Linked DNA regions of Canis lupus familiaris. The protein of the gene in region 1 purifies or fractionates together with the protein of each later gene. This does not show direct contact. Links are inferred from orthologs where the notes say so. Each region holds a gene or a part of one and is shown on either strand. Other genes may lie near its edges.

Region 1 (4,511 bases):
AAATGTATGGATAGTTTTTTTTCCTTTTTTTGTTGACTGCCTCCCTGGCCTAGAAGAAAAGTTTCATAAAGGCAGCAGCTTGGCCTCTTTTGTTCATTGCCTTACATCCAGTACCTTTAACAGTGCCTGGCACATAGAAGACACTCATTTGCTGAATGAATAAAAATGTGAGTGAACAGAACAGAAGAATCCATAGCTAAGCGCTCTTTACACTATTTATAGGTTTAAATAATAATTTAATTTAAATAATTTAACTAATATAATAATTAAATTTAAATTAAAAATAATTTTACTTTAATTTAAATTGATAATCAGACAGGAAACAGAGACAAGCATTTGTTCTTATTGGTAATGGCACAAAATTGAACCCTGTCATTAAATCCCTATGAAAAAATGGACAGAACCAAAAGAATAACTAGTTTCTTCTGTAGACAATGCCTCCTAACAAGGTTGGTATTTCTTATGATATACCTCATCATTAACCTACCCACCTAGTACCTCTCTAAGCTTCAGTTTTCTCATCTGTGAAATGGAAAAAGATTGACTGATACAATGTATGGAGAGCATTTAGCACAGAACTGGGACTCCGTAAATGGATGCTGCTATGATTATTAGTAATGCTGAAACTGAGGTAACCATCTATATGAGACACTACATCATCTTTCTACTCTCTAGAACTGTTTATCCCAGACTTTAAAAATGTGAACTGGAAGAATGACATGTTAAAGACATACAGGATGCTTTATTATCTATCACATAGTTGGGCCTACATTTGAAAGACACCCTATAATAACAATGTTCCATATCAGAGCCTAGCCTTGTCCTTGGCTGACCCTTTGACAGCCCAGAATCTTGTTGCATCCATTTTTGCATCACTTATTACACCTAGACACTTAGAGTATAAGTGCTAGTATTTCCTGGCAGGAACTAAGCAGGGGTGCTCTACTGGCAGGGGAGGGGGGGGGGGCGGTTAGCAGTATAGGAAAAAGAGAGCATAGCAGTAAAACTTCTAATAATATTCCTGTTTTCTGACTTGCCCCTTGAACCATGGAAATCTCTGTCCTGTACGCTAAATTAATAGATGAGCTTCTGATTTCCTTTTCTTTTCTTTTCTTTTTTTTTAAGATTTATTTATTTATTTGAAAGAGAGAGCAAGAAAGCATAAGCATGGGGGAACAGTAGAGGAAGAGGGAAACGCAGGCTCCCCATCAAGCAGGAAGGCTGATGCGGGGCTCAATCCCAGGACCCCGGGATCATGACCTGAGCCTAAGGCAGACACCCAACCAGCTAAGCCACCCAGGAGGCCCTGATTCCTTTTTCTCCACTAGAATTCCGTCCATATGCCTATCTTCTGGGTCAATTAACTACATAAAAAGTGACCCAATAGTTTCACGTCACATGAAAAGGAAAAGGCTTGACCTGAATAAACTCTACAGTCTGCCACTTAGGAATACTGCAAAGATCCTGTAGGTTTTTCATTGATGGGAGATTTCCTTGCAATCTTTTGCAAAAGGCTTCTGTAGAAAGACACACTGGTGGGTTAACTAAGCTGGGGAGCTACATTCAAAAGGTAAGGGTTAAAACCCATGTGGCATAAATCTCCAGTTACAATATTCTTTCTGCTGTTATGTGTATGACCGTGTATTCAAGTCTTTTGTTATGAATGCATAATTATATTCATAGTCATAAATATAAAATATGATAACTATCACTACTAATTTTGCCCAATTACAGGCTTCCAAGTTCGGGTGTGAAAGTCAAAGCAAGTCTCCTAGGTTAAGCCTGGGTACTATCTTACTAAGAGATCTAACTTTATTTGTTAATACTACAGCCCGATACTACTTGTTAGTACTAAAAAGGATCATCTCAACCACTTCTAGTGACGGGTGGGCATACATTTCCACAATAACCTGGGAACAATTCCAAATGGAGAATGAAAAGAAAACCAAAAGAGTTCACTACCGACTCCTCGAACACTTGTCGAAGGGACAGGTTCGAGGCCTCAGTGAATGAAGGGTGAGTTGTCTAAAATGCATTCTTTTATTATGGCGCTTTCCGAACAGTACTGTTTTCCTCAACAGGGCTGTGCCACGCTCATGATCAGAAGCTGTTTTATTTCTTTGTATTTCCAGCGTTTAACATTGTGCCCGTCCCTTTGCTGGGGCTCGAACGATTGAATCCCAAAGCGCCCACTCACGAGGCAGGCCCTACACCTGGCACTGTGGCTCAGCAATCAAGCAGATCCGGAACGGCAGGAGCGCGGTCTGGCCGCTCCTCCTCACCTCCACGTCCCAGCACTGCGAGCAGGGTTAGGGAAGCGCACCATCCATCCGACCACCTCCCACTGTCCCGGCGGAGTGAAACCGGCGGTCCGACCGGCCCGGGCTGCTGCGGACCTCCAGGCACAGCACACGATCCTCTCCGCTTCCTTCGGCAGAGAGGACCCAGGTACTGTCCTCGCCTCCAAACCCAACCCTGACGCCGACCCTCTCCCCAACCTGGCCCCACAAACGCTCCATTCCCCAACCCGACCCAGCCTGGGCGCCCAGAGCTTCCCAGAGGGGAGGCGCCGCGGTGCACTGTGGGAGTCGTAGTTCATCGGTGAGTTCCGCACGCCTACGGCCCTGCGGACGGGACTCCCGCTCCCAGAAGCCCCCGCGTGGGCGCCTCGCTCAGTCCGGCCGCCTCACCTGTTCTACGGACGTGACTGTTTCCACCGAGTCGTCCTGCAACCGCTCCCGCGCGTGCTCGGGCCTCAGACTGTACAGCGGCTCTGACCAGACAGGGGAGGAAGATGGAGGGCAATAGTAGGTGAAGGAACTCGGAGAAGCCATGGTCAGGAGAGCAGCGGGCGGTGTATAGGACTCCCTTCGTCAAACAACAACGCGCATTGAAACTCAAGCGGGCTAAAGCGCTACGGAGAGCGGGTCGAGTCAAAAAGACTTTGAACGCGAATCGCTCTCCACCCACCCACACAGCTTCGGGGAGAGGGTTACTGGGATGCTGCTGCCCCCCATTGGGCAAGAGGAGCTGCTGCAGGAGGCTCAGCTGCCTGGAGCGCACGGAAGGACGGATGGGTCTCTCCAATCTGGATTTCATTTCCGAGAGATGGTGTAGGACTCCTCGGGTCGTTGTGCAAATTAACACACGCAGGCACGCACACTTCGACATTGTGCTAATTGTCGCCTAATTGCAATGGCAGTCGTTCGCAGTTTCGGATGCCCAAGAACTGTGAAACTCAAAAAACATTTTTTGACACATCTCCTGACTCAGACACACTATCGCTAATAGAATTACTGTGCACCTTTGGGTGCGTGGGAGCCGCCCAGGAGAAACCGTCGGCTTCTCAACGAGGGAATTGCCTTCTCGGTACTCAGGGATGGAGGGAAGAGGCATTGTAGTTGTCTCCTATTGTCCCCCAGGGAGCCACAATACAGTAGTAGGGTCTAAAGCGCAGTAAAAGGAACAAGTATAAGTGAAACGACAAAGGAAATACTCGTTTATCAGGCAGTTTTTTAGGGAGCACCTACTATATGTCAAACAGTGTGCTAGGCCCTAGGTATACAAAAGTGAACAAAACAAACAAGCTCCCTGCCCCTAGGAACCTTATAGTCTAGTGGAATTGACAGAATTAATGAATGAACGCAATAATATATGAAGACTTGCCATAAATGGTATGAAAGAAAATAACAGTCTACAAGAGACTGAAAGGAGGACTGGACTAATTAGATTGGGTGGTCAGGCCAAGCCCCTCTGAGGCCTCTCTTAGACCCAAAGGATGACAAGGAGCCATCCACATGAACAATATGGGGAAGAGCTCCCTAGAGGAAGCAACAGTAAGTCTGAGAGAACACTGCCACAAATATACTTATGTATGTGTTTTAATTATAATGATTTAATCTAAAGGTATTCAGAATAAACAATTCTTATTGAGTAGGATTAATCATCATATATGCCTCCATAAAAATGTTAAAGTTGTGATTTTAGGGAAATCCTGTCTTTGGACAAGGAATAGAAGAGACTCTCTTTCAGGGTCCTGAAAGGACTACGTCAAAATTATAATGCCAAGAATTGGGGGAGGGGGCAGAAGATACTGTAATAACAGGCCTTCCAGATAGACTTGGCCCTGTCCAGACTTGGACAACTTCCTGCTCAGGGTATTTTACTCTGTTGCCCCTCAATTCCAAGTCACACGTCTGGAACCCAAGGAACTGTGGTGTGGCATTTCACAACCAACCATTCCCCTTTTATCCGTCTCTGGTGTTAAATAGAAGCTCTCAGAAAGATCCTAAAGATGAGGCTGGGATGGCCTAAAGTCCTCAGACAAGTAAACACTATCACCATGTTCATTGCAGTGGTACTGTTGCTAAGTTAAGTCCTGTAGGTGGCAAAATGTTTCTAAATCTGAGAATAAATGACCCTGTGTGGGTTAGGGTCATGGATATGGCTGCACTGTACTTCCCTCTCTGTTGGCATCTTATTGTCTTTCTCTTGGTTCTGTTTTGAAAAGA
Region 2 (3,815 bases), on another chromosome or scaffold:
TACCGGTCTCCAGAGGTGCTGCTGGGAATGCCTTACGACCTTGCTATCGATATGTGGTCCCTTGGGTGTATTTTGGTTGAAATGCACACTGGAGAACCTCTGTTCAGTGGAGCCAATGAGGTATATAATGGATTGCTTTCAAAACTCTTTTTTCACAGTTTGTTTTTGATTGTAATCTGTGACAGTGTAATCTGAAAATTGTTTTTTAGAAAAAGATGCCTACTTACCAATTTAAATATTCAAATGTTGGGTCAGTCTTTAATTTGCATTTATCCATTTTTAAATTTTTTCAATTATCCTAATGGGGAATTTAGGATTTTGAGATGGGGGTGAGATTTTTTAATTTGCTGGTAAGAACAGTAAGTTAGTTTAGAAAATGTTAAGCCTTTTGATTTATATTTTACAGATTTTCAGTATAACAAAAATAATGATAAAAGGCCTGAGGGACACTCTGAAAACAATGTAAACATCACTGTGTAAATTTTGAGAATATGATTTGGAATAAAGAAGTGATGACCAGTAGCCTTAAATTGGGTATTTGATCTGAATAATTGAGGGTGAATTAAGATGATAGAATTTTAGAGCTACACACTATGTGTAATTATTCTAATTCATGGGTTTTCAGTCTATGTTCTTAGAAGATGTTTGGGGATCAGAGCCAGTGCCTAGGAGGGCATGGGAGAGTCATACTCTCTGGCAGTCAGAGGAATTGGCCTTTCATTGGTTTAAAACCTTGTGAAGTTTTCATTTTTTAAAGAAAAGTTACGCATTACAGATCTTGATCAGTCCATGCATTTATAAATAAGAGAGAATGGCCAACGAAATTTAATGACTTACTTATACTGGGTTATATAGCTGTTAGTATCGTATCAGAAACCTGTCCCTTCCATCTTGCTAATTCACTCGAACTATAGGTTGTGAGCCACTCATGGGCAGTAACTGGCATAGTGTGTGTTTGATAATGTTTCGTTATAAAATACAATTATATTCTCTTAAATCACCTGAAACTTCAGTGGCTTCCATTTTATTCATTGTAAAATCCAAGTCCTTTGAGTGGCTCGAAAATCCCCCCACTCCCTCTACCTCCTGCCTCCTCTGTGCAGTGTTGCCTCCCTTACTTTCTCTGCCAGCACACAGCCTTACTCTGTGGTCCCTTGGAAACAGTAGCCACAGGCCCAGACTAACTGAGGCCTTTGCATTAGTTCTTCCCTGTGCCTTAGAGGCCCTTCCCCAGGGGGCATGTGGCTCTTCCCTCCTGGCCACAGATCTTCAGCTCCTCCGTCTTCTCCGTGATCCTCTAGTACCAGTGGATGACAGTACCCTGTCACTCTCCATCCCTTTTCCTTCCTCCATAGGTCTTAGTTGCCATGGACAAAATATATTTAACTGTGTATTTGTCTATTATTGATCTCTTCCCTCTATGATACCAACTTTTTGGCAGTGATTTTTATCTGTTTTATTTATTGCTCTGTGTATGGTTTCTAGCATGTAGTAGACACTTGTATTTGAGCGAATGAATCTGTGCTTAAAAATATACTTTATTCGGTCCACACTTTATTAAGCCTCTGGGATTTTTTTTTTTTTTTTGATGGTTATTTGATTTTATGTGTTTAATTGTCTGCCCTGTCCTGTATGGCATGAGGGGACTGCAGGGCGACAGGGAGTTTCTCTTTTGTTCATGATTGTATGCTCAGTGCCTGGAGGTGTGCCTGACACTCGGGAGGTACTCTGTTTGTTTATAATTCAGGAATGAATGAATGGATGGATGGATGAACAGAATTAGGATGTACTACAGTGGAAGTTACAGGCTTTTTAATTTTTATTTTCAATACAGGTAGATCAGATGAATAAAATAGTGGAAGTTCTGAGTATCCCACCTGCTCATATTCTTGACCAAGCACCAAAAGCAAGAAAGTTCTTTGAGAAGTTGCCAGATGGCACTTGGAACTTAAAGAAGACCAAAGATGGAAAACGGGTAAAATAGGGAAACTTTGTTTTTTGAGTCTTTGTTACTTATTTTACGAGAGCAGTCTTTCTTTCTGTAGCTCATCTTGCATCACTTGAAATCCGTGTTTCAGTTAACAGTTTGATTAATAACGTTGGTGTATGCTTCTTTAGATGGTGGGTGTAGTTTGACCTGATGTGTCTGTTTGGACCAGTGTTTGTTTCATGGTCAGAGTTAAGGCTTCATTTTGAAAACTCTGTGTCTGCTTTGTGAGACAGCCAATCAAACCACCATGCCTCATTGCGGCAGTAGAATCCGTCAGTTTGACCTTTTTTCCTCACAGTGTGGGTCTGTGATGAAGTCCCAGTTAACAGTACCGCAGCTGTGAGCAACAGAGGTCATAATTGCAGTAAATCGCCTTTTTTTTTTTTTTTTTTTCAGTTGGGGGGGAAGGGATTTTTGACTTAGGCAATTTGTGACAAGAATATGAACTGACTTAGAGAGTCATTGGATAGATTCCTGGAGATTCTTATTCTTAGGTCAGTGGCATGGATAGCAGGAATGTCAAATCTCCAAAATACTCAAAGTGAGGTTTTCAAATCACTAAGTTTGTTTTAGTAATCTTCTTTTAGCTGAGAAGTTTTTTCAGATCCTTAAGTGATGTCAGTTTAACAGAGTAAATGATAGCAATTTTGCATCTTGATTTACTTTTTGTTTTATGTATCTGAAAATAATCGTATGTTGTGATCTAGCTTATTTCTAGTATAAAATGAATGTCATATATAAATATCTGGTTGTATGTGATATGTATACCAGACACCTTGTGATTCTAGTTTTGCATTCTTAATATTTAGGAGATTTTATTTTTGCTCCAAGTTTTATTTTGCCCTTGCATTTTAGCGATGCTGCCACCAGGTGTCATTTCCAGTGAACTGAAGATGATGGTTGTTTGCTTTAATTCACCTTCATGTAGCTGTGGAGTCTCAACTTTCATTATCGAATGATTTTCTTTAGAATATTTAAAAATATATCTGTAATTAAGGGTTTCCCAGCTGATTTGTAACCTACTGCATTCTGCTTTATTTATTAAAGTTCCAGGTAATGGAGTATCTGGCAGCTGAATTGTGCCCACTCCCCTTAAGAAAGGGGTGGGTAATGCCATGCAAGCCTCCTGAGTCCTTTTGCCTTCATCCACATCGGTAGCTTCTCAGGCCTGGCCCCTTTCCCCTTCAACCAAAACACAGCCTCCTCGGAATCCTTCTTAGTTTCCCCAGCATTTAAAGTAGCTCCTACCAGTTGATTGGAATTAGGGTGGAGGATATGAAACCTCCTTTATAGTTCTTATCTCTGTGCAATACAGGCTACTACTTTCTCCATTTTGAAGTGTTTTTTTTTTTCCTTCTGCCTGTTGTTTCTTTTTTCTAAATAAAACATTCATCCCATCCCATTCATATCCCTGTCTTATAAAACCACAGTTAAGCCACTATGGGCTGTAACCTTTCATTTCTCCCAAATTGAGCTATGAGTATTTTAAAAAATTATTTGGGGAGGCATTTCAGAAATGAAAAGAGAAATCTTTTCCCTTTTTAAAATTGAAAGTGAGTATCATAACCTGCATTTAATACATATTAACTATAGGTTTTATGAGATTTCCTTAGCTGCAATTAGCAACTGACTTAAGAAACTTAATTTTTAAAATATAAAATAACTATTTTGTTTTTGAATAGAAGTAAATTTTGCAACGACAGAAACATCAAATCCATAACCAAATGTTTACATTATAAAGGATGCACTAGGGAATTTAAGCATAAGTATAAATTGAGTTGCACGTGTTCTCATTGGATTTGTGTTTATTTTCTCAGTGATTTTA

The links.
Region 2: the proteins of FNTB (region 1) and DYRK1A purify together in Homo sapiens (affinity purification with mass spectrometry; 3 studies listed by BioGRID, counting the BioPlex papers as one). This does not show direct contact. The link is inferred for Canis lupus familiaris from reciprocal best matches to the Homo sapiens genes FNTB and DYRK1A.

Annotation. Positions count from the first base shown.
Region 1 is NC_049229.1:39,638,180-39,642,690, reverse strand, and holds the start of FNTB (protein farnesyltransferase subunit beta), read right to left. Parts: upstream 2,929-4,511; 5' UTR 2,835-2,928; coding exon 2,691-2,834; exon of another isoform or gene 2,683-2,690; intron 1-2,682. UniProt on the Homo sapiens protein: Essential subunit of the farnesyltransferase complex. Catalyzes the transfer of a farnesyl moiety from farnesyl diphosphate to a cysteine at the fourth position from the C-terminus of several proteins having the C-terminal sequence Cys-aliphatic-aliphatic-X.
Region 2 is NC_049252.1:32,311,324-32,315,138, forward strand, and holds part of DYRK1A (dual specificity tyrosine-phosphorylation-regulated kinase 1A), read left to right. Parts: coding exon 1-120; intron 121-1,834; coding exon 1,835-1,975; intron 1,976-3,815. UniProt on the Homo sapiens protein: Dual-specificity kinase which possesses both serine/threonine and tyrosine kinase activities. Exhibits a substrate preference for proline at position P+1 and arginine at position P-3.